Linked DNA regions of Caenorhabditis elegans. The protein of the gene in region 3 interacts with the protein of the main gene of each other region in a biochemical or structural test. Each region holds a gene or a part of one and is shown on either strand. Other genes may lie near its edges.

Evidence for each region.
Region 1: the proteins of dmsr-1 (region 3) and flp-8 interact in a test that uses a peptide from one of them, tested with the Caenorhabditis elegans proteins (one large-scale study listed by BioGRID).
Region 2: the proteins of dmsr-1 (region 3) and flp-2 interact in a test that uses a peptide from one of them, tested with the Caenorhabditis elegans proteins (one large-scale study listed by BioGRID).
Region 4: the proteins of dmsr-1 (region 3) and flp-17 interact in a test that uses a peptide from one of them, tested with the Caenorhabditis elegans proteins (one large-scale study listed by BioGRID).

What each region holds. Positions count from the first base shown.
Region 1 is NC_003284.9:14,878,680-14,884,265, forward strand, and holds flp-8 (FMRF-Like Peptide), read left to right. Parts: upstream 1-2,739; 5' UTR 2,740-2,858; coding exon 2,859-2,981; intron 2,982-3,050; coding exon 3,051-3,184; intron 3,185-3,237; coding exon 3,238-3,388; downstream 3,389-5,586. Other genes in the region: sssh-1 (UPAR/Ly6 domain-containing protein qvr), read left to right, coding at 1-40.
Region 2 is NC_003284.9:10,093,930-10,097,148, forward strand, and holds flp-2 (SPREPIRF-amide), read right to left. Parts: upstream 1,296-3,219; 5' UTR 1,227-1,295; coding exon 952-1,226; intron 746-951; coding exon 700-745; 3' UTR 501-699; downstream 1-500. Other genes in the region: W07E11.1 (glutamate synthase (NADH)), read left to right, coding at 1,605-1,760, 1,819-2,091, 2,438-2,590, 2,774-2,852.
Region 3 is NC_003283.11:11,435,734-11,443,789, reverse strand, and holds dmsr-1 (G-protein coupled receptor dmsr-1), read right to left. Parts: upstream 5,021-8,056; 5' UTR 4,973-5,020; coding exon 4,902-4,972; intron 4,623-4,901; coding exon 4,306-4,622; intron 4,255-4,305; coding exon 3,995-4,254; intron 3,700-3,994; coding exon 3,232-3,699; intron 2,851-3,231; coding exon 2,665-2,850; intron 2,604-2,664; coding exon 2,373-2,603; 3' UTR 2,226-2,372; downstream 1-2,225. Other genes in the region: F57B7.2 (SCP domain-containing protein), read left to right, coding at 187-476, 629-786, 834-1,124, 1,401-1,654. UniProt on the Caenorhabditis elegans protein: G-protein coupled receptor.
Region 4 is NC_003282.8:17,188,006-17,194,920, forward strand, and holds flp-17 (FMRF-Like Peptide), read right to left. Parts: upstream 3,887-6,915; coding exon 3,703-3,886; intron 3,508-3,702; exon of another isoform or gene 3,487-3,507; intron 3,326-3,486; exon of another isoform or gene 3,302-3,325; intron 2,945-3,301; exon of another isoform or gene 2,924-2,944; intron 2,789-2,923; coding exon 2,688-2,788; intron 2,642-2,687; coding exon 2,534-2,641; 3' UTR 2,199-2,533; downstream 1-2,198. Other genes in the region: C52D10.3 (DUF4140 domain-containing protein), read left to right, coding at 338-484, 533-637, 1,002-1,133, 1,451-1,642.

The DNA.
Region 1 (5,586 bases), on a different chromosome or scaffold from region 3:
ACTAATAATTATGTTTTCTGCAGCTGTGTTATTATTATGATGAGTTGTTCATTAAACCTACATATCGGAATCAAATCAAACTTAGATCTCTATTCTTTTCATTTTCCATCGGTTTTATATAGAACTTTTGCCGAAGTATTTTGATTGCATACCAAATAAATGTTTTTACGTTGTTGGAAATGTTTATTAAAATTTAAAGGAACACAGAATAGCCAAAGTGTTTTTAATTTCCAAATTTTTTTTTACTCCTCGAACAGTACCCTTGAACTTCAGCTCGCTATTTTGAATATTCCTGTCACGAAGTCGGTGAATACAAAGATTCACTCGCTCACGACTTATTAATAAATCTAAGGATTTATTAACAAATGATTAAATGTAAAGATTGATTCATTGTTATTACGTAACACTTGCTCTTCAACACTCAACATCATCTCTTCAATCAACGGCAACAACCATGCAGAAGGACGGCGTCAGAAACCCCGATTCAAACTACCGCCAAAAGGACGATTCAAGGCGCATGAGGTCTCGCCACGACACATACAACAACGACTGCGACCGTACTCTTGTCATCATGGCGCAGCGCACATTGGCCTATATCGTCAGTCTTCATCGGTCTTCACCACCGCAGCACGTGCCCGACGGTGGCACGTTTAAATGAATGTTGAGTGTTAGTGATTCAAGGTTTTCCCCTTGAATCACTCGTAATAAATGAGTTAATTAAATAAGAGTCTTTTGTTAGTTCCTATCAGTACCTCATGGGCCGGAAACCACTCCGAAACAATTCCCATAATTTTATTGTTTTCCATTTTCCAGGAAAAAAAACAGTTCTTTGACATTTTCAAGCCAAAAACTATGTGTGTTCCGTCTTAAGACCATGCATTGGAAATTACGTTCGTCACTATTTTTGTGTGTATGTGTTTTGGATTCCTCTTCTCACATTTGCGGTCACAACAGTATCGTTCATCGGTTTTTATGTTGTGATAAAATAGAGAAAAAGTAAAACGAGCATATTTTTGATAGCGGAAGAAAAATTTTGAGATTACATATAACAAAGCGGAAAGTGATTATCAAATGTCAAATTATCAAATAATTTGGAAGCTTTTCAATTCAATATACAGGGTTGATTTTCAATAGGTGGTGCAAGTAAAAAAGAAATACTGTATTTATATTTAAAGATAAATACATTTTGTTTAAACACGTAAATATTGTTTCAAGCTGGCCGCATATCAAAATAAAACCGTACAAAAACTTTCCAGTTTTTCTTAATTTTCAGTCAAGGTTTTAGTAAAATAGCGAGGCGACGAAAATATATAACTTTCCGAGAAGTTCAGAGCAGTTAATAATTATTATCAACTTTTTACAGAATGGTTTACATTTTTTCAACATTAATTATAGTTAAAGGACAATACATTTTTCAAAATATTCACTGTAAATATGAATGAATACTTTTGGAAAATAATCAAAAAGCTGACTGACTACTGTTAAACAATGGCGGAGTGATAAACTAGCAAATTCACTTATTATGCACATAATTATAATGCAGGATAAGATGACTGACTTTCAAGACATTCACTATTTAATGATTAGACTTCCATTTTTGACCATCCCATTTTGACATAAGAACTCCTTGATATTTTGTTCTCTTTGAAAAGTCTTGTTTTACTCTACTTTAAATGAATTCATTTTCGTCATGGACGATCTCTTCAAAAAGTATGTGGGCACCTTTACTTTGAATACACGCAATCTTCACCGTAGTTTCATGTTGCTCGAATGAATATTCAATGATTGGAGGGCAAGATTTATGAAGAGATTGCCGTGAAATCATTTTGCGAGGCGAATCATCGAGGAAGCAACTGATTCGTGATGAATAATTTGCGCGGTGGATAAGTTTTTGGTTTCAAAGTACCCCCCCCCCCCCCCCCCGAGAAGAGGTGGAAAAAAGTTGAAGAATTAGATGAAGGAGAAGTCCAAGTGTTACGTCAACAATTTACAAATGCATAGAGTTGGTATAATTAGTTTCGGAGGGTGTCGGTGGCTAAATTTATCTGTTAGTTACCTCCCAGCATGAATTCCGTGTATTCACTGTGTTCAGTCCCTCGACTGCTCGGTTATACAGCTGATAGATAGACGAGGAAGAAGAAAACACACAAAAACGTAAAGTGGGCCTCTTTAAAAAAATTTAAAAAACAAAATAAGGACACAAAAATATAAATATGCATTGTTTTCATTTTTCAAAACGAGGGTAGCTTCGAGAAATTTCCATTTTCAAATCAAACGAATTGCTACAACAATGTCAAAATGTTAAAATTTTTCTTGGTGGTACTGTATGACTCTAAAGTTTGATCTGGAAAAATTTGTTTTTTCGTAGATAACGTTTCTTACCTAAAAAGCGGTTTTTAACCTGATAGTTGAGATAACCTGGTTTATACAATAAATTTTCAAATGAGATAATTTTTAATAACTTTAAAAAAAAATTTTTTTATATCGTTGGTTTTCGAAACTTGATTTTCAGCAAATTTTTAAAATTTGAATCAACTTGCTCTCAAAGACACGTTTATTGTCTTACGACTTTTAAAACCGGAGTAAATTTAATTTTTCGATGAATCAATTTCAGATAAATCTCAGAACAAGCACTTTACTGTTTCTTACTTGTTTTATGCAATTTACCATTTCAAGTTTTCTATGCCCCCGCGTTCTTTTACCAAACGCCTTCCAGTGGACACTCTAGAATTTCTTCAGCACAAGAAGGCGTGGCCTCTGAAAAGGCGGAGCAAAGTGCGCGGAGCCCAAGTTAGTGGAGAAGACGGACCAGTATATAAGCCACGAGCAGTGCTCAGTCCACACTTTTCAAGTAGAAAATGCTCTCCGGAGTCCTTTTTTCTATTTTTGTACTCGCCATATCGGCCAACGCTAGCTGTGATGTGTCCGCACTGACCACCGAGAATGAGAAGGAACTCGGACTCCGGATTTGCCATCTTGAGGTATGTTGATCATTTTTTTTAGTTTCCAAAGTGGTTTTTTATTCCTGTAAAATCTAAAATGTTTTGCAGGCGGAGATGCAAGTCGTCCAAAGAGCCTTGCAGGAGGTGATGCAGCAGACAGATGTCACACTGTACGATCAAGAAGTTCCGGTGATGAACAAGCGTAAAAACGAGTTTATCCGATTTGGAAAACGCAGTGACGGGTTAGTACATATTTGGTATTTGTCGGTCATTTCAAATATCATTTCTTTCTCAGAATGGAAAAACGAAAGAACGAGTTCATCCGGTTTGGAAAGAGAAAAAATGAGTTCATCCGATTCGGAAGATCCGATAAGGGACTTGGACTCGACGACAACGACGTTTCCAGTGAGTTTTTCGGTTACACCTCTGATGTATTTTATCTGTAAGTGGTTTTGCAGTGGAGAAACGAAAGAACGAATTCATTCGATTCGGGTGATTCGCGTTCAGAGATGGATGTGTGCTTCTTGATGATTTGGGCCAAATTGTGTTCTATACTGATAATGTTTTGTTAGATTTCTTATTCTCCATGCTAATTTTTTTTCTTTTATCTCTGCAAAACGTCAGTTAGAATAAACTTTCATTGTTTTTCTGGTTTTTTTTTCTTTTTTTTTCCATCTTATCTCAATTTTCACAAGACTTGGATATTCACAGGCTTGATGTATGAATTGCATAATATGTCCCAGCCGAATGACCAAATCCGTTTTTTTTCTTTGTATGACCACTCATCGTATTCAAATTTGCTTACAAGTACGCATGATCCCCCTGCGGGCGCGCGCATCAAACAGACGTAAGACCGGTTTTCGAGGAAAAACTGTGTATATCTTTCTATCCGAAATCCTGTGTCATTGAAATATTTCACAATTTGGATACAATTTTCTCGGCCCAAACATGTTGTATAGTCAGTGAGAAGAAGAAAAGTAAATTTTTTGTTGAAATGAGACAACATATTTCATGTTTCGCTAGGCTACGAGAACGTGGGACACTTGTGATTTTTTTTTGCTTGACAAATGATGGGGCCAAGCGATTTCAAGAAGTCTAAACAAGATAATTTTGGCGTCATAGTTTTTGATAGAAGATTTTTTGAAAATTAGAATCAAGATGGTTCTATTGCAGTACATTCAAAAATAGGAGTGGGCTTCAGCCGAGTTTCACGATTGATAGTTCAAGAATTTTCTCTAAATTAAAACACATAACTATACTTTCAGTTCCCACTAAACTGAAATTCTCAATGCTTCAAAACTGCTTACCGTTTTCTACTAAGTTCTTGATAGCTCAGTCGGTAGTGGTGGTCGCTAGCAATCTGGAGGTCACGAGTTCAAGTCCGGCCTCACTCCCTAGGTTCACCCAGCCTCCATTGGCAAGGTGAGCAATCCATAACTGGATTTTCCGCCACAGTCTCCGGCTAGGACGTGGCTTAAATTATAGCCCAGTAGGAGCACCATCAGGCAGTGTACCTGGCTCCTAGATCCGCAGTGCATCGCACTTGAAGAAGGGATCGTCTTTTAATCCTTTAATCCTTTTTTATACCTTAAAACTTTATTTTTACTATCTGCAAAGTAAGTTCATCTCAGATTTTCTAATTAAAAAACCCCTGCTTCGTTGTCGTAATAATGCGTCATCTCAAAGTTATTGAAATTCCGCCACTTTTCTTCTGGATCTCACTTTCCACGGATAAAAAAGAAAGCCGAAACTTTCTTATTCTCATGCCTCGTCACCTCCGAAACTAGTCCGATGACTCAATAATTCGGTGAAGAATGGCTTGCCATAATAAAAAAAAATTGGGCGATATAGTCAACGGCAAAATTTAAATTCAAGGTGTATACTTTAAGCAGAAATACTTGGTCAGTGCAAATTAATTTTCAGTTCACTAAAAATTAGTCAAGCGGAATCTGGTAAACAATTAGGAAAACAAACACTTGAGGACGGAAGATTATCCCTGAAATACTTTTCTTTTATATTGTTGTAAAAATTCTCAAGACGCTTCGAAGAATTTCGGAAATGTTCGCAACACAGGATAAACGAGATGTTGACCAGCTGTGGTGGAGGTATGGGCTATTGCCATTAGTCGCACTTTAGTCGATGATGATGGCAGACAATTACCGTCCTATTGACAGCTAGTTTCTACTGCCCGCCGCTACCGTCACCACGTAATCTGGCCACGCTATTGCTTCTGCACACGATTTTTCTCTCGGAGGAGGAGGAGGAGGAGGAGGACAACTATTTTTTCGTTACTGCTTTATGTTTTGCGAGTTTTACGATTGATCTAAACTTTTCGATTCTTTTTGTTAAATTTTACGAGAAATATAGAAATGTTTAAGTTTGGAAAAAAGTGATTTGTACGAAATTTCCTTATTAATGTAGGACCATTAAAAATCTTACAATTTGTTTGTAACTTAATAGTTTGGCTTTAACGATAAAGAAATTCAAATTCGTAAATGTGTTACGTAAACTTTCCTAATGTGTCAAAAAGCAAAGAGTTTATGTATATTGAAATCAATAATTTAAAAATGAATTTTATTTATAAACAGCTTTGAATTTTAGTTGAATCACTTTTCGAGTTTAGCGCAACTTTTGCCAATTTGAA
Region 2 (3,219 bases), on a different chromosome or scaffold from region 3:
CAAAACGTAGATAGACATTTGTTCTCAAAAAAGAAAGAAATGACAGAATCCGATTGGTGCCTGTTGGTTGAGATGCCACCTTGTCGAATTTGTGAAGCGAAGCTGATTAATGAACTGAGCTTTAAGGAGGGGGGATTTTCTGTTTTTGAATAATTAAACATTATTTTTTGTCAAAAACGTCACTTGTCAGAACGCGAGAAATGATTAAGTAGGTTGAACTAATCTTGTTCTCAAGATTGAACAGTGTTTTGAAATTAAAACGAAAACTAATAAATCAAAGCTTCTTGGAAATTCTAGCACCTTCCAAAGTCACTCCACATGTTTAATTATGAGCACTCATTGACATTTCCGAAACAATTCTTTGAAGAACTAGCAAGACTGAATTTTAAAATTTTGATCTTGAAAATAGTGTGCCTCGTTTTCTGACCTAATCTGGCTAAAATCTGAAATTCAGTGCCAGTAGTCGTTTCCTTTGTTCGCGAAGAAAACGTAAGACTTGGTTAACAGATGGGCTATTATTCCATGCGGAACCCAACCACTTTATTCGAAGTTATAGGAAACATAGTTTAAAAAATGTTGTTGCATTGAAAGTACGGATCAAAATATAGGACGAGAATGGGAAGAAAATGTTGGAATATCTAATATGATGTTGGCTGAGTAGTGGGGTTCACCGTGCATTGAATCATTGATAGGATGGAGTTATTGGAAGTCGTAATCTGGCAGCGGATTGAATCGTTTTCCGAAACTGAAAATAATAAAATAAATTCTATCGATCTGCAAGTGTATTAAACATTTTTGTAAGAAGTGATTCTAGTAAGAATACATGACGTTTCCAAATATGTGTTTGGGTTTTAAGCTTGATTTATGTTGTTTTTCCAAATTTTGAAAAAAATTCGGAAACTTTTAAACTACTTGATATACTTCATATCATCAATTATCTCTCATACTCACCGAATGGGCTCGCGCGGGGAGCGTTTGCCAAAACGAATGGGTTCTCCACGAAGACGTTTTGCCATTGCTGAAGCTTCGAAAATTCCAAGAGTGTTGTCGTTGACAGCTGGCTGGGCGACAGTAGTACCCTTTAAATAAGCTAGTTGGCCACGTAATAACTGATCCCGACTAGTGGGAATGGGGAGTATCCGCTTTGGTTGCACAAACTGGAAGGGACTTACAATGACGGCGAGAAGGACGAGGAAAAGAGCAGATAGGATTCCAGAAACTTGCATGGTTTGCGACAATTGGTTTGGCAACGACTGACAATGAGTCAGACGAAAGCTCTGTGTGCGGGTGTGTACCTGAAAATGGAGAGCTTTTTCACACGAGATCGTTTTTGGCAAGAGATAGTAAAACGAAGAGCAGATAGAAATGTAGAGAAAGTGGGTGATGCGTGCTCATTAGCTCGTACAGATCGGATTACAATGTGAACTAGCGTCAAAGAGCGTTGGGCGAGAGCAGTTGCGCAATAACATCTCATCATGTAGAAATGGTGATTTTGAGTGAAGACGTGAAAGATCAGACTAGTGAAGCACGCGCAAAAGTCTCCAGAGGAATTAAATGAATTGCAATAAATAAGTTATTTTAATTATAATCAATGTACTTTACAGGATCGTCTCAAACCCGGACGCATGCTCCTTGTGGACACACATCTCAAAAAGATCGAGCTCGATGAGGACCTTAAGACAAGAATTGCTTTGTCAAGACCTCATAAGCAACTTTCCGCATCGAGAATCTACTTGGACTTGATTCGCAAGGATGATGTGGTTAGTAGTAAAAGACAAAAAAAAAATTGAATTGTGACAAATTTTAACTAATTTTTAGCTCTCTCACGGTGCCGTCACCAATGAATACCTTAATCGTCTTCATTTGGAGCAGGTGAACCCTGGTCTTATGAAGAAAAAGGATGTTCATCTAGACTCTGACCGTCGTCTGGCCTTGTATGCCTATACCCATGACACTTTCAGCTTGCTCTTAGTTCCAATGATCAAGGAGAAGAAGGAAGCTCTCGGGTCAATGGGGAATGATGCTGCGTTGGCTTGTCTGTCTGATTACAGCCCGCTGTTGTTCAGTTATTTCCAGCAACTCTTCGCCCAGGTGGGTTCATAAGCAGAATGGGAAAAAATGAGTAAAGAGAGTAACCAACGGTTCTTCGAAGTTCAAATCTAGAAAAGTAGTCGGAGGCCATTAAATTGTTTTGACTTCATTCGCATACTCCTCCTATTCTATCCATGTAGTTGATTAGAAAAACAAACTTAAGACTGCCCAAAATCGTAATTTTGAGGAACGACGACTTTTTTTGGAGAAATGTATTTTCATTTCTAAGCTTGTTTAACTATGACGTCCGAGTGAAAGAATTAGAAAAAATTGTTCATGAAAATATGTATTAAAAAGTGAGAAAAGTTCCTGGTAGAGTGAACACAGATTGAGCACTTGATTACAGGTCACCAACCCACCAATTGACCCTTTCCGTGAACAAATCGTCATGTCGTTGAGATGCCCAATTGGACCTGAGTCTAACATGCTTGAGCCAGACACCGAACTTGCCAGTCGGCTCATCTTGGAGCAGCCAGTTCTTTCAATGGTTGATATGGAGGTTGGTACATAAAGGGGAAACAAGGAAGAAGATCATACAAATGAAAAAACCAGAGGAGAGCTAGCGCATTTATAGTTTTGCAATTATCTGAAACTGGCTCCAAACTCCTCCTTTGTTTGTCTTGTTGGAATTTCTCATGACGCATCAAATCAATCATTATCATCTTCAGTATTGCAATTTCAGGTCATCAAACGAACTATGTACAAGGGATGGAAAGCAAAGGAAATTGACATCACTTACCCAGTCAAATATGGAGTGAAAGGTACTAAAAACATGAGGATGTTAAGGAAATACGTTTTGATGGGGCTAATCTTCAAGAAAGTTGCAATTTTTGCGGGCGACGATAGATAATTAGTGGCTAGAATGAGTGGAAATGACTTAGGAGAAGTGCTAAAGATAGTTTTGAGTTCGTCACTATCGTCAAATGTGTCTTGGAAATGAAGAAAAAATAAATGAATAATAACTTTTAAAAGGAATCATTAGGGAATTCGGATTTCATTGATAATCAGTATTTACTATTGAGTGAGAATTATGTTTTGCGTGTAACATTATTTTTTAGATTTGCCATTGCAGCGAAGCTTTACTATAAATATCGTCATATTAGAAACTTGATTTATGTCTTGGATTAA
Region 3 (8,056 bases):
GTCTTCTTCTTTCAATATTTCTGGTTTCTCCTCTGATTTCATGTGAGACTGCTCTCGGGGAATCGTTCCCTTGAGACGTTTACTTCCTCTACAAGTGCATACACACATCTACATATCTCTTCCACTTTCTGCCCCTATTTGAATTTTGGGAGCTTTTGAGTCGTCATCCGGAGTCGCCTTCTCAAGATGAATTTGTTGTCCATTTTGCTTTTTTTCGTTTTAAGATGTTGTCGCTCTAACAACTTTTACGATCAGTTTCCGTACCACGCATTTCCTATTTCTTGCTCTTTAATTGGTTCTTTTAGAAACATGAAGCGCTTCTTTTCGCGCAAGAAATTGAGAAAATCAAAGAGTGATTTTACGGGTGAAAAAACGGATCCAGAACGGCATGAACATGAAAATGGTGCAGCTGGTGGAGTTCCATTACCTACTGAACCAGTTCCTATTCCACAATCAAAATCAACGAATATAGTAAAGTAAGGATGTATTTCTAAATGATTTATTTGAAAAAAAAATATTTCGTAGGAAACAATTTCGTTGAAATATAGCCACTTTTTCATATTAACTAATTTTAAAACTTTTAGTTCAATTTAAATTAACATTAATTTAAAAAAAAACCAATTTGCAGCAATGTCTCAAACTCATACGGAGATGACTATGAAGCAGTTTGCTCATCAATTGGGGAAGAATCACGGAAAAATTTTGACGCTCAATTAGACAAGCATATGATGCAAACAATTACTGACGTTAAATACATGATCAAACATAGCAAATACACTGCCCTTAGTGAGTTTTCTAAAAATCATTTCAGTTTAATAAAAATATGTATTCAGGCGAAGTGAATTTTCAACGATCTTGCCTAGATGCTCATAATGAGTGCAGGCAAAGATACGGAAACGAGAATCTTTGTTGGTCAACCGAATTGGCTGAAATGGCTCATGCGTGGGCCGTGAAGTTGGCAGATAGAGGGAGAGTATTGTATCCAGAGTTGCCTGGAATTGGAGAGAATTTAATTTTGAAAGAGGCAAATGAACAGTCACATTTACCAACTGGACAAGAAGTTATTCAAGAATGGGAAAAAGAAGCACAGTTCTTTGATTTCGACAAACCGCGATGGAATCCAAGTTAGTTTTTGAAGTTTGCTTCTTAATTTCGAATAGGTTGAGTTGGGCAAAATTTGAAATTTTCATTTTGTATCAGCAGAACTGGCTAACAAATAAACAAAATAAGGCTAACAAATAAACAAAATATTATTCAAAAATTCGCATAATTCTTGCTGTCCCAAAGGCTGCCAACTTCCCATTCAAAACATAATCAACTAAAAAATAATATTTAGACAAGAACTAAAATCTTAGCTTACTCTTGGTCCGAGTCAATTTCATAAGTGTCTCTAATTTCAGAATGTCAACGATTTTCACAAGTTGTTTGGAAAGATACAACAGAACTTGGCGCTGCACGGTATTGGAACACAGCAAATAATTGTGTAGCTGTTGTCTGCTTTTATCGTCCAGCGGGAAATTCAAATGCACCCGGAGAATTTGCTTCAAATGTTCCATCCAGAGATTGTTCAATGTCACCAATTCGAAACTTGGGAACTCAACTAAAACGCCACGTCACGATCTCAACACCAGAAAGAGCTGTTGTTTCCAAGTAGCTACTAGTTTATTTTTTTCAATTTGTGTAGCCAGAAACCGAAAAAGAACATTCCGAAACGGGTTGTGCGTTTTCTTCTACTTTTCTCCCCCACTTGATGCTTTCATTATAGTCAGCTTTTCTGTTTTTTTCTCTTTCATTTCGGCACCCGGTAACTTTGTCGGTTAATTGATCTCTAGCTATTACTTTCCATTGACAAATAAAAGATTGCTATGCCGAAACATTTTTACAAGTTGGAAGATTATCCTTTTTAAGTAAGTGTTTTAATTACACGGTGACATACGACTGTCATGTTTGCCATCAATATTTTTGTGATGGCATGATAAAAAATTCATTTAAACCAGAAAAATGCTTATGAAAATCAATCTATGTCTACCTACTATGGGAGCTAGTTTGAAGTTCTCCGAGGATACAATATTCCCAATTCTGCAATTTTCATTCATAAAAGGTTGTCATATACATAAATCAATAACCTCAATATGCAAATTGAAAGAATTTTAATTTCTGAACAATTACTTTATTTTTTTTTTCAATTCTGAAAAGTTTAAAGATTTAAAAAAAAAGTATGTTACTAATAAAAAACAAGATTCATTAATAGGACACGCTTAAGAAGAAATCAACGTAATCAGAAAATTGAAATAGAAACCCGTGAATATGGTAAATACTAATGGTTTTGTTCTGACACGTGTTGCAATTTGTGTGTTTAAAAAATTCTGATATCAAATGTTTTGAAAGTGTCCACGAATTCCATCAGCACTGGCTGTTGAGTTGGGTCCTGAGCTGTTAAGTAGATGTGATGTCTCATCAGTGGATTCATCTTCTCCACTTCGAATCGGTGGAAGTGGGGATGATGGAAATGATGTTGGCATTGGAGAACATGGAGTAATTGAATCACATCCAGTCATTCTCGTTATTTCCGTACTGTTTCTTCGTACCTGGATTCCGACCATCTGAAAATTAACATGGCTTATTCAAAAGTTTTGTAGAAAAAACATGTGTTGATATTCTTACTTTAACACTTGCTGACCTTGTATCTTCCGAATAAGTGCCATTTCCATTCATTCCATTTCCGTTTTTCTCGTTTGGTTTTAGAAAAGTCATTTTTGTGGTACTGTAGGCGTCGGATGGACGACGAATCGACGGCGATGACATTCGGAGACATCTCACCTTTGCAGGTACAAAGACACGGTGGAATTCCTAAAAATTTTATGATTTTTCTATATTGAAAATGAACCAATTTTTATTTATAGAAATCAAATGAAAATGCTTGTTCCCTGTGTTAAAATGAACTAAACACACATTCATAAAATGAGCAAAGTATGTACTTCCATGATTTTTCTTGTAAAAACAACTCCGCAATTGTCGGAAAATGTAGAGATCTTAAGCGCATTTTAAGACGCTGCCGAACATCATGTTAGTAAGAAAACAAAGAAAAAAAAGACAAATTCGCTTGGAAAGTTCCACCGAATGTTGAGAAAGTTTGTAGTATTTTCTAACAGCATACAACACATTTTTCATTGAGGTATTTTGAAAAGATGTCGCTCATTGAAATTTTTTTCAAGTAATATCAAAACTTACATTTCTGAACTGTCCACTCATTGAGCAGTAAATGATGAATGAACAACATGAACCGCAAAGTGAGAACAAATCGAGAATGTCTCCCAGATTGTTATAAATGTAAATTCGGAATTCTTCAGAACACATTCCAGACAAGACAGCCATAATTCCTTGAGGTAATTCAGTCACTAGCATAACTGCTACAATTGCCAATAACATATGAGTTGTCCGATCGACACGTTCTCCTCTCCCCCGTAAGCTTCCATTTCTGCCTAATTTCTCGTTGCCTGCAACTGAAATGCTCAGTCTTTGTCCGTTTCGAGTAGTCGTTTGATTCGGTGGTCGATGTTGCGAGTTCTTGAGAAGACGTTGACGATTCTCACGCACTTCACGAAGAATTCGTAAAAGGAGCCAAACAAACAACGATAGAAGCGCACATGGTAATACTTTGAATACCATACCGGATATCCAATAAGATAACCGGAAGACCTGCAGGAAATTAGGAAATTGGTTTTTGCTAGGGTGACGATCACGATGATAAATATTATTTTGTATAATTTTCATGATATCATATGTACATATGATCGATCAATTATTTCCAAAAAGGTTTATATAAATCCAAAGCTTCAAAGTTATATTATGATGATCTTGCCAAAATTTTTAGTTTATAAATCTAAGTTCCAATAAAAAAGTTTTTCGAGAAATTTTGTTTGTATACAATTTGTCAAACATTATTTTTTAACAAAAATCTTGTTTTTTTTTTACTGAAATTCAAAAATCTTACCAGACAGCTGTTTGCTTTTGCAATGTCTGCAATTCCAGGAAGATACGCGGGCGAATTCCAGAACATTGGATCCAAATCGGTACACGTTTCATTCAATGGCTGTTCATTGATTTTGTAATTCAGAAAATTCGGTGCATTAAGCACTGCTACAAGGGATACAGTAACAGCAACGGCATAATAAGAATGCCTTAACGTCACTTGCATACCACCCATATTTCCCCTACTTCGAAGTGTTACATATCGAACAAGTGCAAGCATAACTGCAATAAAATCGAAGAGTTGGACAGTTGTCTTCAGAATGAAAAGCTTACCTGACAACCAAACACTTGAAGAATGTGCAACTAATGAAAGATGAGCATGAGCAATTAAAAATAACGCCCAAGAGTAGGACCAATGTTTCGGATGACAAAACTTGAAAGCGACAAATGAGTAATGTGTTGTGTATATTAAATTTGAAAATAACACAACTGTATCACAAGATGCCATTGCTGTCAAAATCATATTAACTGGCGTTCGCATTGTTCGTCTCGTTAGTACGACGATGTTACAGAAATTAGCGATTGTACCCAACACGCATAGAAATATTGATAAGTAGGCATGTATAGGATGGTAGAAATTATATACACTTCTGAAAAAAAAACGTTTAATTTCACTTTTTTCCACTTTTGCTCTTGAAATATTTATTAATGGCTCTCTTTTTTATGGTCATCACTTTTGAGGACACAATAATTTAAGATAAGATAACCTTCTTCAATAACTTGGTTTTATTCGCTATTTTTAGGGATGATTTCTACAAATAATAGGATAACTTTTAATGATGATAAACTGTACTTTTTGAAAATACGTCAAATACAACAGTACTGGGCAATTATTTGAAAGATTTTTGAGACACAAAAGTAAAACTTACACAAAAACATCGTATAAAAAACTTTTATCGGGCAGATGAATAAATGTAGTTTTGCATTCGGTAAACTCCATTTTGTTTGCTGTTCCTCTGTTCTATTGTTTCTGATTCTATTTGAACATCTGAAAAAAAACAACAATTTATTAATATTGAAACGTTGAAAATGAGGAAAACAAGCGTTCAAATGAAAAACGGCTCCGATTCGGAAAACCGGAAAACGTCATTAGAAATGAGAGATGACTATGAAAAAAATGACAAAAGGGACAAAGATTTGGCAACACATTGCTCATTCACTTTTTAAAACAAAAACACTCAAATAATAGGGTGAGTGTGTTTTTTTGGAACAAAAAAACTAACAAAAATATACTGCAAGCTTTTGCTCAAAAATCTAAGATAAACACCAATTATTGCCAATTAGGGAGATCTTGCAGATAAAACTTCCTTAAAGAAATCATTATTCAGAAATTGAAGGAGTTGCAAAATCAGAAAATATAAAAATAAAAATAGCACAGGAAGTTTAATGATTTTTTTACTGGGAAAATTAAGAGTACAATTGAAAAAAGAGAGCCAAAAAGTTTTGAATGAACTTCAGAAGGAATAATTTGCATAAACTGAACAAGATTAATACATTCAAAAGTACACAAATTTTCGGAAAAATTGATATGCACTATACCAAATTCATATTCACATTCGTTTTTTGATTAATTTTTTTGCCGCTACACAATTTCGGCAATTGAGCATGTATTCGATTACAAAGAAAATGTCACAAATTCCAGGCACTTGGAAAAATAAATTGATAATTATTTCTTTTTCTATCACTTGGAAGAAGAGTTGTTTTTAAATGCCCGCTATTTCAGAGAGACATCACGTCATTAAAAACCATAAACGTTACGCATTTTGAAAAATAGAAAATTCAAAAACCTAAATGGATATCTCAACAGCTTTTTGTCACTATTTCACTGTCTCTTCACTTCAAAACACACACATATATATATATATATATATATATATATATATATATATATATGTGCAATATCCGTATCTACTTCCAACCGCTATTCGATCACTAAAAGAAACTCAAAACAAGCCTCGCTTCCTAGTCCTTCCGTTCGCCGCCATGATGGGCCCAGTATCTAAGCATGGGCGGAATTTGTTGCTTTTTTACTCAAAAAAAAGAACCTTTTTTATGTTGAGCACGGACAGATAAACGCAGAGCGGGGTGCAACGCATCTCTCCCCGACAAAAAATAACATCAGAATATAACCAAATTTCGGTCAGCGCTCGGAAGTGTGTGAGGCGGCCTAGCGCGCTCCAACTCTAATTACAGAGCGGATAAGGTTTGGATAGATATTTCCAAAGTTAGTCATGTGTTGATCCGTGACCACATGTCAGGTGAGCACCCATTTCCGGAGTCACTTCAGGAAAAAAACTCATTGAGCTGACTCTCGTGCCAGAGGAATTTTTCGCACTTATCATTAAAGAAAACGACAAAAGTTTATGCTGAAAATGAAAATATTTGCCGGAATTCGGTTTGAAGTTACGATAAAAAAGTAAAAGGTACAAGATCAAACTCCACTGGCAAACATATCCCAAGTATTGAAAATTTTAAGCATAATTACTTTTGAGTTAGGGGAAGGAAAATGATGGAAGTCCGGTTAGGTCGGATTTTCCTATATTGCTTGTTAAATCATTTTTGTGTATTAAATTGTATTGAAAAATAGCTGAAAAATAAGGATTATTATAACTTCTCTTATTTTACTTTTTAAAATTATTTTTTGTGACGTCGAACTTTAAAATGCAACGCCAAAAGTTTCCACAATGCAATCAAATCCTTTATACTTAAAACATCAAAATCCAACAACATGTAAACATATTTACAGAACAGAAAATTCTAAAAATATTACAAACTTGTAAACAAGTTGATAGTTGAGAAGACCTATCAAGAAGTATGATACGAGTGAGAGTACAAAAAGTACCCACAAGAAGTATCAAACTCGGAGAAAAAGATGGAAGGTACGGGGCCAAATAAAAAAACCGACGGATGTTGAGACCGAGAAAAATGCAAATTCTGAAGCTAACCGAATTTGTGACAGTGGATGGGCTCTTTGCCTAACTTAAACGAAACTTCATGTGACCTTACGAATGACGCAACTATTTCTGCACATAAAAAGGTGACAGAAGAAGAAGCCGTAGGATAAACTGACCAAACTTAGAGAGATGAGGACAATGAAATTCTTTTCTTTTTGCATTCCATATTTTCCCCGTCTTCTCATTTTCATATTTCTTTATAAATTCAGTCGCCCGTCCAATTGAATTCATTCAATTCGAGGAGGAGGAGGATGAGAGGAAGAAGAAATGGAATGCAGTGTTATTGCTACCTCGCTAGCCGCCGGATGCTCAGCTCCTCTACTCCCAAGATTGGGGGAATGGATCTTGAAATTCCATTGCCGTTTGTATAGCCGTAGGTTTTGAATATTAAAAATATTATATTATGAAAGGATCGGGGGTGGAGCAGAGATAGAAACAGCTTTGCTGCTTTTTCTTCTTCTTTCATTTGCAAAAGCCTGTTTCTGCTTTTCATTCACTTCGTAAAAAAGTTTAGCAACGCTGAGGGAGGGCTTTGGATTTGAATTTGTGAATTTGTCAACCCAAGCGGAAATTGGAATGAACTTTTCGGTTCTTCAAAAAAAAAACTAAAGAAAGTGAAAAGTTTGGATAGAATAAGGCGGAGCAAAACGTCGAAGAAGACGAGCCTGAAAGTAGCAAAATTGGCCAAATTTGACTCGAGTTGAAAGCTCCTGCTTCTGTTTCTTGGCGCAAGAGCTTCTCCCCCGCTTCAGCATATCCTATATTCAAAGACGATGAAAGTTTTATTTTTTGCTTCTCCTTCTTCTTCTTCTTCATGTTTTCTTTGAATTAGAGACGTCAGATTGTAAAAATAAAAGTGTTTTCATTTCCTAATGTCTTCGTTTTCACCATCATCACATTCATTTTTCTCTATCCTCTTCTTATATCGGACTAATTAGAAGGCGGGAGACGAAGATTTTTGAGTGAAAAAAGCGAATGGAAATATGAGGAGCATCTCTGATATGTCTTGTGACAACTCAAAATGCTCGAAGAGCTCTGTAAAGAATAGACGAAAAGTTTTCCCACCAATT
Region 4 (6,915 bases), on a different chromosome or scaffold from region 3:
GTAACTTTTTGAGTAATATTGAAAAATGGAAAAACAATGAAACTTTTTTATTGAAAAATCTAATTTTGAAAAATTATCGTTTTCTGGTAATATATGGAACAAATAACTATTTCTAAAGCAAAAGCACTTTTTTTTAGTTTTGAAACTGTAATTTATTTTGAAAAATTGTTTCGTTAATATTCAAACGTTCGTTTATTTTTGAAAAAAAACTATAAATAGAGAATAAACTGAAAATCATAATTTTATTTATTGTTTTTAATAAAATATTAAAAAGTTGTGAAACAGTAAATTCTAGGAATTGCTGGGTTTTCAAAAATTATAAACAATTATTTTTCAGAGTGAGCTTTCCTGCGCATTCTCCCACGAAACCGTACCTTCTCGTTCAACAAGTGCTTACTTATCAGCTCTGATCACAAATACATCTCAACTTCCACTGCTCCCCGGGGCAGCCGCAGTTTACGTCAATAACTGTTTTGTGACAAAGGTATGTGGGTCTCGCCGCGAAATCTACAGTACCCATTTGTTGTTACAGACCCATTTGAGATTGGTGTCTCCCGGAGAGGAATTTCGGTGTAATATGGGAGTCGATCCGTCGGTGAAAGTTGAATACAAAGCACCAACAGTGACTTATGATCAGGTAAGAAAATTTAGAAAAATTGAAGAAAAAAAAATTACGGTTTCAAATTTTCGTTATTTTCCAAAACGTTTTCGATCAATAATTTTTTAAATAACAAGGTCTTTTCCAAAAAGCTCTTTAATGAAAATAAGATATTTTCAAAATTTTTGAAAATGATGAAAAAATTATTTAAATTCCACTGGTACAATTTTGACATGCGTTTAATATGCGATCTATAATTAAAAATGTTTATGTCATAGTTACTGCTCAAAAAATGGGAAAAATACGTTCTTCTTAATTTTCAAAAAAATTACTGTTTCAAATGTTTGAAAAACCAAAAAAATCTCCAAATTAATTACTCGTAACTTACTATTCATTTTTTCAGGTGGGGTTCATGTCAAAAAGTACCTTAATGACTCACGAGCAGCTGATCAGTGTCCGCAGTGCAAAAGTTCGTCAAAGTGTAAAAATTACGGTAAAGGAGCAGATTCCAAAAAGCCATGATGACAAGATTAAGGTGAGAATTTAAATTTATTTTCATTAGAGCGCAGAAAGTAGATAAAATTTTACAAAATCTGAAAGTTTTAAAATTGAGAAGAAACTACCCCTGCCGCCCCCGCCAAATCCCAACTACCACACCTCATTTCGGTTTTGGAAAATGTTTTGAGCTTCTGTTTCAAAAGAATGAAACTAGGTAACATTTTTCTTGCAATTAGTTAGAAATGTAGTTAGTACAAAAAAGCGGGTTATTGGCGCAGTGGTAGTGTGCTAGGTTGGTGAGCAAGTGACCGAGAGTTCACCCCTTGACCTTGCAGACAATTTTCTCAGTTCCAGGTTTCTATCGTGTCTCCGGAGATCAAAAGCTCGTCTTCCTCCAAGAACTCATCTCCACCAGATGCTCGTCTTAACAAAGACCATAATCTTGAATGGTGTGTCATTTTGGCACCCGGCCAACATCGTCTTCTCCCAGTTCGCTACACAATTGAGCATCCGGCTTCGGAATCGCTTTCCTATAAGTTTAATTAATCATTTTCCCTGATTTATTTATTTTCTGTTTCTGTGTATTGGTCGTATTTTTTGAGTACTAAAAATATTCAATTTGTATCAAATTACCCACATTTCTTCTCTGGTTTTAGTTCTTTCAATTGTTCTGTCTCAAAGATGATAATAAATGTTTTTTTTTGTTCTCGGAAAAATTGAGACTATTAAAGTATTCGTATTTATTTTCTAAGAAAACTACAAAGAAACTATAAAGAAAAGTATATGAAATTATAAAAACAAAGTGAAACAGTAAGTTTTTACTTCTGCATGAAGTTTTCAATGTCAATTGGATCTCCACTATCTTCCTGAATGCCTGAAAACTACATAGTAACCGAAATTTTCAAGGATCACGCGATTTTAAATTTGGACAGGGTCCGTCTCCTAAGGGGTGCGGCCACTTATGCTGAAACCCGGCCGATGAAGGATGCTGCAAACGTTCAACTACACTCTGAAACACACAATTTCACAATCAATTTTCAGCTGCTATTTTTATAAGAATTCATCAAAAAGTTGAAACAACATTTTCCAGCAGTCACCAGTCTAACAAAATAGTCAGTTTTATTCAAATCTCAATTTCAAGCTGATCAAGAAACAGGATTGTGGAGGTTTGGGGTGTCATCGCCACACCGATTGACAAACACATTCAGTCAATTAATAAAAGTTGTCCACACCAAAAAGAAAAAAATTATTAGCCCACGGAGGAAGATTTCTCGGAAAAAAAACTAGAAGGAAAATTCACGAACTGGGAATTTTAACAGGGGGTTGTGAATTTTTGTAAATTTAGAGAAATATTGGTACCCAAGAGAGTAGGAGTTGCTCAAAATGTTGGTTGAAAAAGGAATAAATGGTGGGAATTTGAAAATCAAAAAAAAAAAATTATTTTCCAAAGCGAATGTACTGGCTCTTTCTTTTTTCAGTAATCTGTGGCTCCATTCCGAATGATCTTCCAAATCTGACAAACGCTGATTTACGCTTTTCCATTTCCTGAAAAAAAAAGTTGGAGGCTTACAAAATGGGATTTTTAACATACCATAGCCTCTTCCTCTGGAGCAGATCTCTTTCCGAATCTGACAAAGGCGCTCTTTCTCTTTTGTACCTCTTGAGCTCCGGCTTGCTGTTGATTGTTGATTCCTGAAAGTTAAAAAGTTTTTTTATAAAAGATTCTTTAGTAGAATAGCTCCGGGAATGATGCTGTAAAAAATTTCAAAAAAAAAGTTCACTGTTTCAAATGTTTTGTAACATTTTTCATTTTTAGGGGTCTCACAGTCAATTCTTTTCAATTACCAAATTTATATGCGAAAAAAAGTAGAATTTCAAAATAGAAAATGAAAAAAGGTTCAGAAAAATTAGGTTGAAATTTGACTTTTTCATAGCTTTTTTTCATCGTTTTCTTATTTTATTTGGATGACAGACCCGACCTACATAAATGCTCTAAAAATGCTCTGAGCTCTAAAAAAATGCTCTAAACCTAAAAAAATCTGCGGTGGGATAATATTAATAATTTTAAACAACGAGACATTTTTTTGCTGCTACGAAAAATTTTCAAATGTGACCGAAGTAGTCACGAACTTAAAAAAAAATTCGTTTTATTATTATCATGGTTGTTTTCACGGACTAAAAATTGAAATATTTCTATATTCTCTGAAATGCGACGTTACAGAGTCATCATTAGAATGAGGAAACATTACCATCTTTATGAAAGGCTTGAAACGGTAAAATAAAATTAAGATTCTTCAAGAGAACGTGATAAATTAAAATTAAACGTTAAAATTAATGTTTTTTTCCGTTTTACGAAAACGAGAAATAACGACTTGAGAGTTTGAATTCATTAGTAACGTTTTTCTATAAAACTACCAATAAAAAAGAAAAAAAGTCGAATTTCTATCACTCATGATTTACAATTTTAATATTGTGCTCTAATCCTAAAAAATCTATACTTTTCACAACTATTTTTTTCAAGAAATTTCACATTTTCCATTAAATCTCTCAAACTAGAGGAACTATCGAACAACGTCCAACTAAAAAAAATATTCCAGCCGACTCACCATCTTGCAAAAGATACTGTAACTCGACCAAACTGCCTGTCAGCTCTTCTTTCAGTCGGCACATGTGGAGTGTTGGGAACTTCTCGCAAAACTTTTCCGACTGAATTTCCTCCATTGAAGCGGCCTGGGAGGATCCCGAAATTGTGAGCAACAAACAAGTGGTGAGCACTAGTTTGGAGAGCATCTGGAAAAATAAAGTTTTGCGGAAAATATTTCCACACAGAATTTTTTTAAAGGAAAAAAAATGGAAACACAAAAAAATCATTGAGAAAAAGTAACAGAAAATGTGTGAAAAATGAATGAAAAATCTGAATTTCCCGTGTCAATTTATAGCTATTAGCCCCTTCCTAATGCATTTCCGGCTCCGAATTTCCGATTGAAATCACTGAAAAAACCGAAAAATCTTTCAAAAATTCAGAAAATCCGAATCATTTCCTAATCAATTTGACAAGAAAGCACGGGAAACTTAGAGGCTTCTGAGAAATCGGATACGGTATCCGGAGCTGAGCACGCCTCGTTGAAAACGTGCCGAGAACACGGACGTAAAGGTGGAATGCTCAAGCTCCGCCCAGATTTGGTCTGATGATGTTTTTGGTGAATCAACTTGTCACGAATGTGCTTGCCTACCACATGCCTACTGCCGAAAAATAATTTCTATATTTTTTGATTTAAATCTTTAAAAAGGTGTTGGTAGCTACACTGAGCAAATATCAAAACTCCGAGTTACCGTCGAAATGAAGAAAGGCAATAGTTAGGCATAGAGGCACCAGGTAGGCAGGTAGGTAGATATATGAGTAGCTATCAGGCAGGCGGGAGTGTTAGTAGTGGAATGTCATAAAGCAGGTAAGCAACATAGCGGTAGGCATTATGAAAAATCCCGAAAAATAATTTATTTTGCAAATACCCCCAAGGAAGCAATAAATAATAATTTTTGTAAATACTTTAAAAAAGTTCAAGCCCGCTCCATTTTTCGCAAACTCCGTGATATTTCGGAAAATTATTTCTCAAAATTTGAATGAATGATGGATTAGAAGACGGTTTTCGAACATATATTCAAAGCTAACGTACTGTAATTATTTGGAATATTTTGTGAAGTACGTATTAAAAATTCCGATTAACAAAAAACATTTAATAACTATTCGAAAAATAATAACATTGTCTTTTTCAATAAAAAACGCATTTTGGAAAAAATTAAGCAGTTTTTAGAACCTGATGGATACTTAATTTATATGCTTTCAGTATATAACTTTTTTTTCACAATTTTAAGGCATATTTCGTTTTCCAGTTTGCATAATGAACGAGAGATTATTTGACACTTTTGAAACAAAAAAAAACAAATAAAATTTTTTGTTGAAACCGAATATTTTAAAAATGTTCTGTTACTTGAAACTTATTCCAAATTTTTCGAAACTGTAAACTGTTTTGATACTTTTTTTTGGCCAAGACAGTTCTCTTCTAGAATTTCTAATATAAAACGCTTGGAATATTAACGTTTTCATATTTCCAATGAAACGCTGCCTATTTGTTTTATTTAAAAATTAAAATAAAAACTTTTAAAATCAATCAGAGAAAAAACTACTAAACATACAAGCTGTTTTTTTAATGCTCTTCAATAAATTTAAAAGTAAATTTTCATGAAAAAATGTAAGCTCCGCCCCTTTTTCGGAAATCTCCGAAAAATTTCGGAAAATGCAGAATTGAATGAATGAATGATGGATTAAGAGACATTTTGCCGGTTTTATTTTTGAATTTTTTTTCCTGTTTCAACGAATGCTACAAATATGGCTGGTTATACTGAAACAATAATAATTTGCCAATATAAAAATCACTCGTTGTAACAAGTGTTTCCTAATGTAAGTAAAACATATTTTAAAATAAACCACCTGAAACAGTGATTTTATTTATTTAAACGATTTGTTCCGTTTTATTTGAAATTGATGGATCTATAACATTGAATTCTGTATAAGTTACAAACCTAAATAGATAATGGGAAACAGTAAAATTTTCAAAAGTATGTTCAAATTTTTAGAACTTTGTAAGAATCATTTTTCTACATCCTTGCAGGTTCCGAAAAAAAATCGAGAAATTCAATGAATGATGGTTAAGAAAAAAACCTTCTAAAAATGAAAATTGATTATATGAAACAAAAATATTTTCGTGCACCTTCTCCGAAACGGAAAATTATTGAGAGTTGAAATTCTGTTTGAAAACATTTCGATATTTTATAAAAATGAATCACTTTTCAAAAAAATTTTTTCCTCCGTGTCACCAGATACACAGAGACTACTTTAAGTGTATGATGCAATCTTTGCTGAGAACGATGCGATTTTGCTTACAGTAAATATTTTACTGTTTTACTTTGAGTAATGATTTGTCCAAAACACATTCAAATGAACTTCTAGCAATATTTTAATTTTATAAGCTGTTTATTTAATGTTCCTAGAAATGTGCCTTTTGTGAAAATATCTATTACTTAAAAATTGTTTTTTTTAAATATATATCCGAAAAAAAAAACTCCTGCCTATCCAGCCGTCTTTCTGTGTGCATACGTACCTTACTTAAATCGAATCTTGTGAAACAGAAAATTTTTTAATAAAAAAATGTTTTTTTTTTCAAAATCTTTCAGTTAAGCTCAATATTATATTGTTAAAAATAAGCCCCGCCCCTTTTTTGCAAAGTTCCGAAATTTTTCGGAGAATGATTTTTCCGAATTTGATCGAGAATGATGGATTGGGAGACAAAATGCGAGTTGTGTTTTGTGGGCGTGGCTTAATTGGGAATGATGTTTGAAAATTATGTAAGAATCAAAGATGTAATTGATGAAAAGGGGGATTTTTCAATAAAATCAATATTAAACTTCTATTTCAAAAAAATTTGTTTTAAGCCAAAAGGTTTTGAATTAAATTTCAGATATTCGGGCCAAAATAAACTGTAGTTTGCAGTCAATGACGTCCGAGGGGTCGGTTTTATTGTTTTTTTGTTGGTGAATCCAGATAATTTTTTAAAAAATTAAAAAAATTTTTTATTTAAATTTTTAATTCGTCTAGAAAATTAATCTTCCATTAATAATATGAGGTTGTGAGTAATTTTTAAATTAAATTCTTGAAACAGTAATTTTTAGGATATAAATTCTTTAGATATTAGTTAAAACCCATTTTATTTTAATAAATAGTTCTGAAATTTGGAAAAAATTAGAAAACGGATTTCTATTCT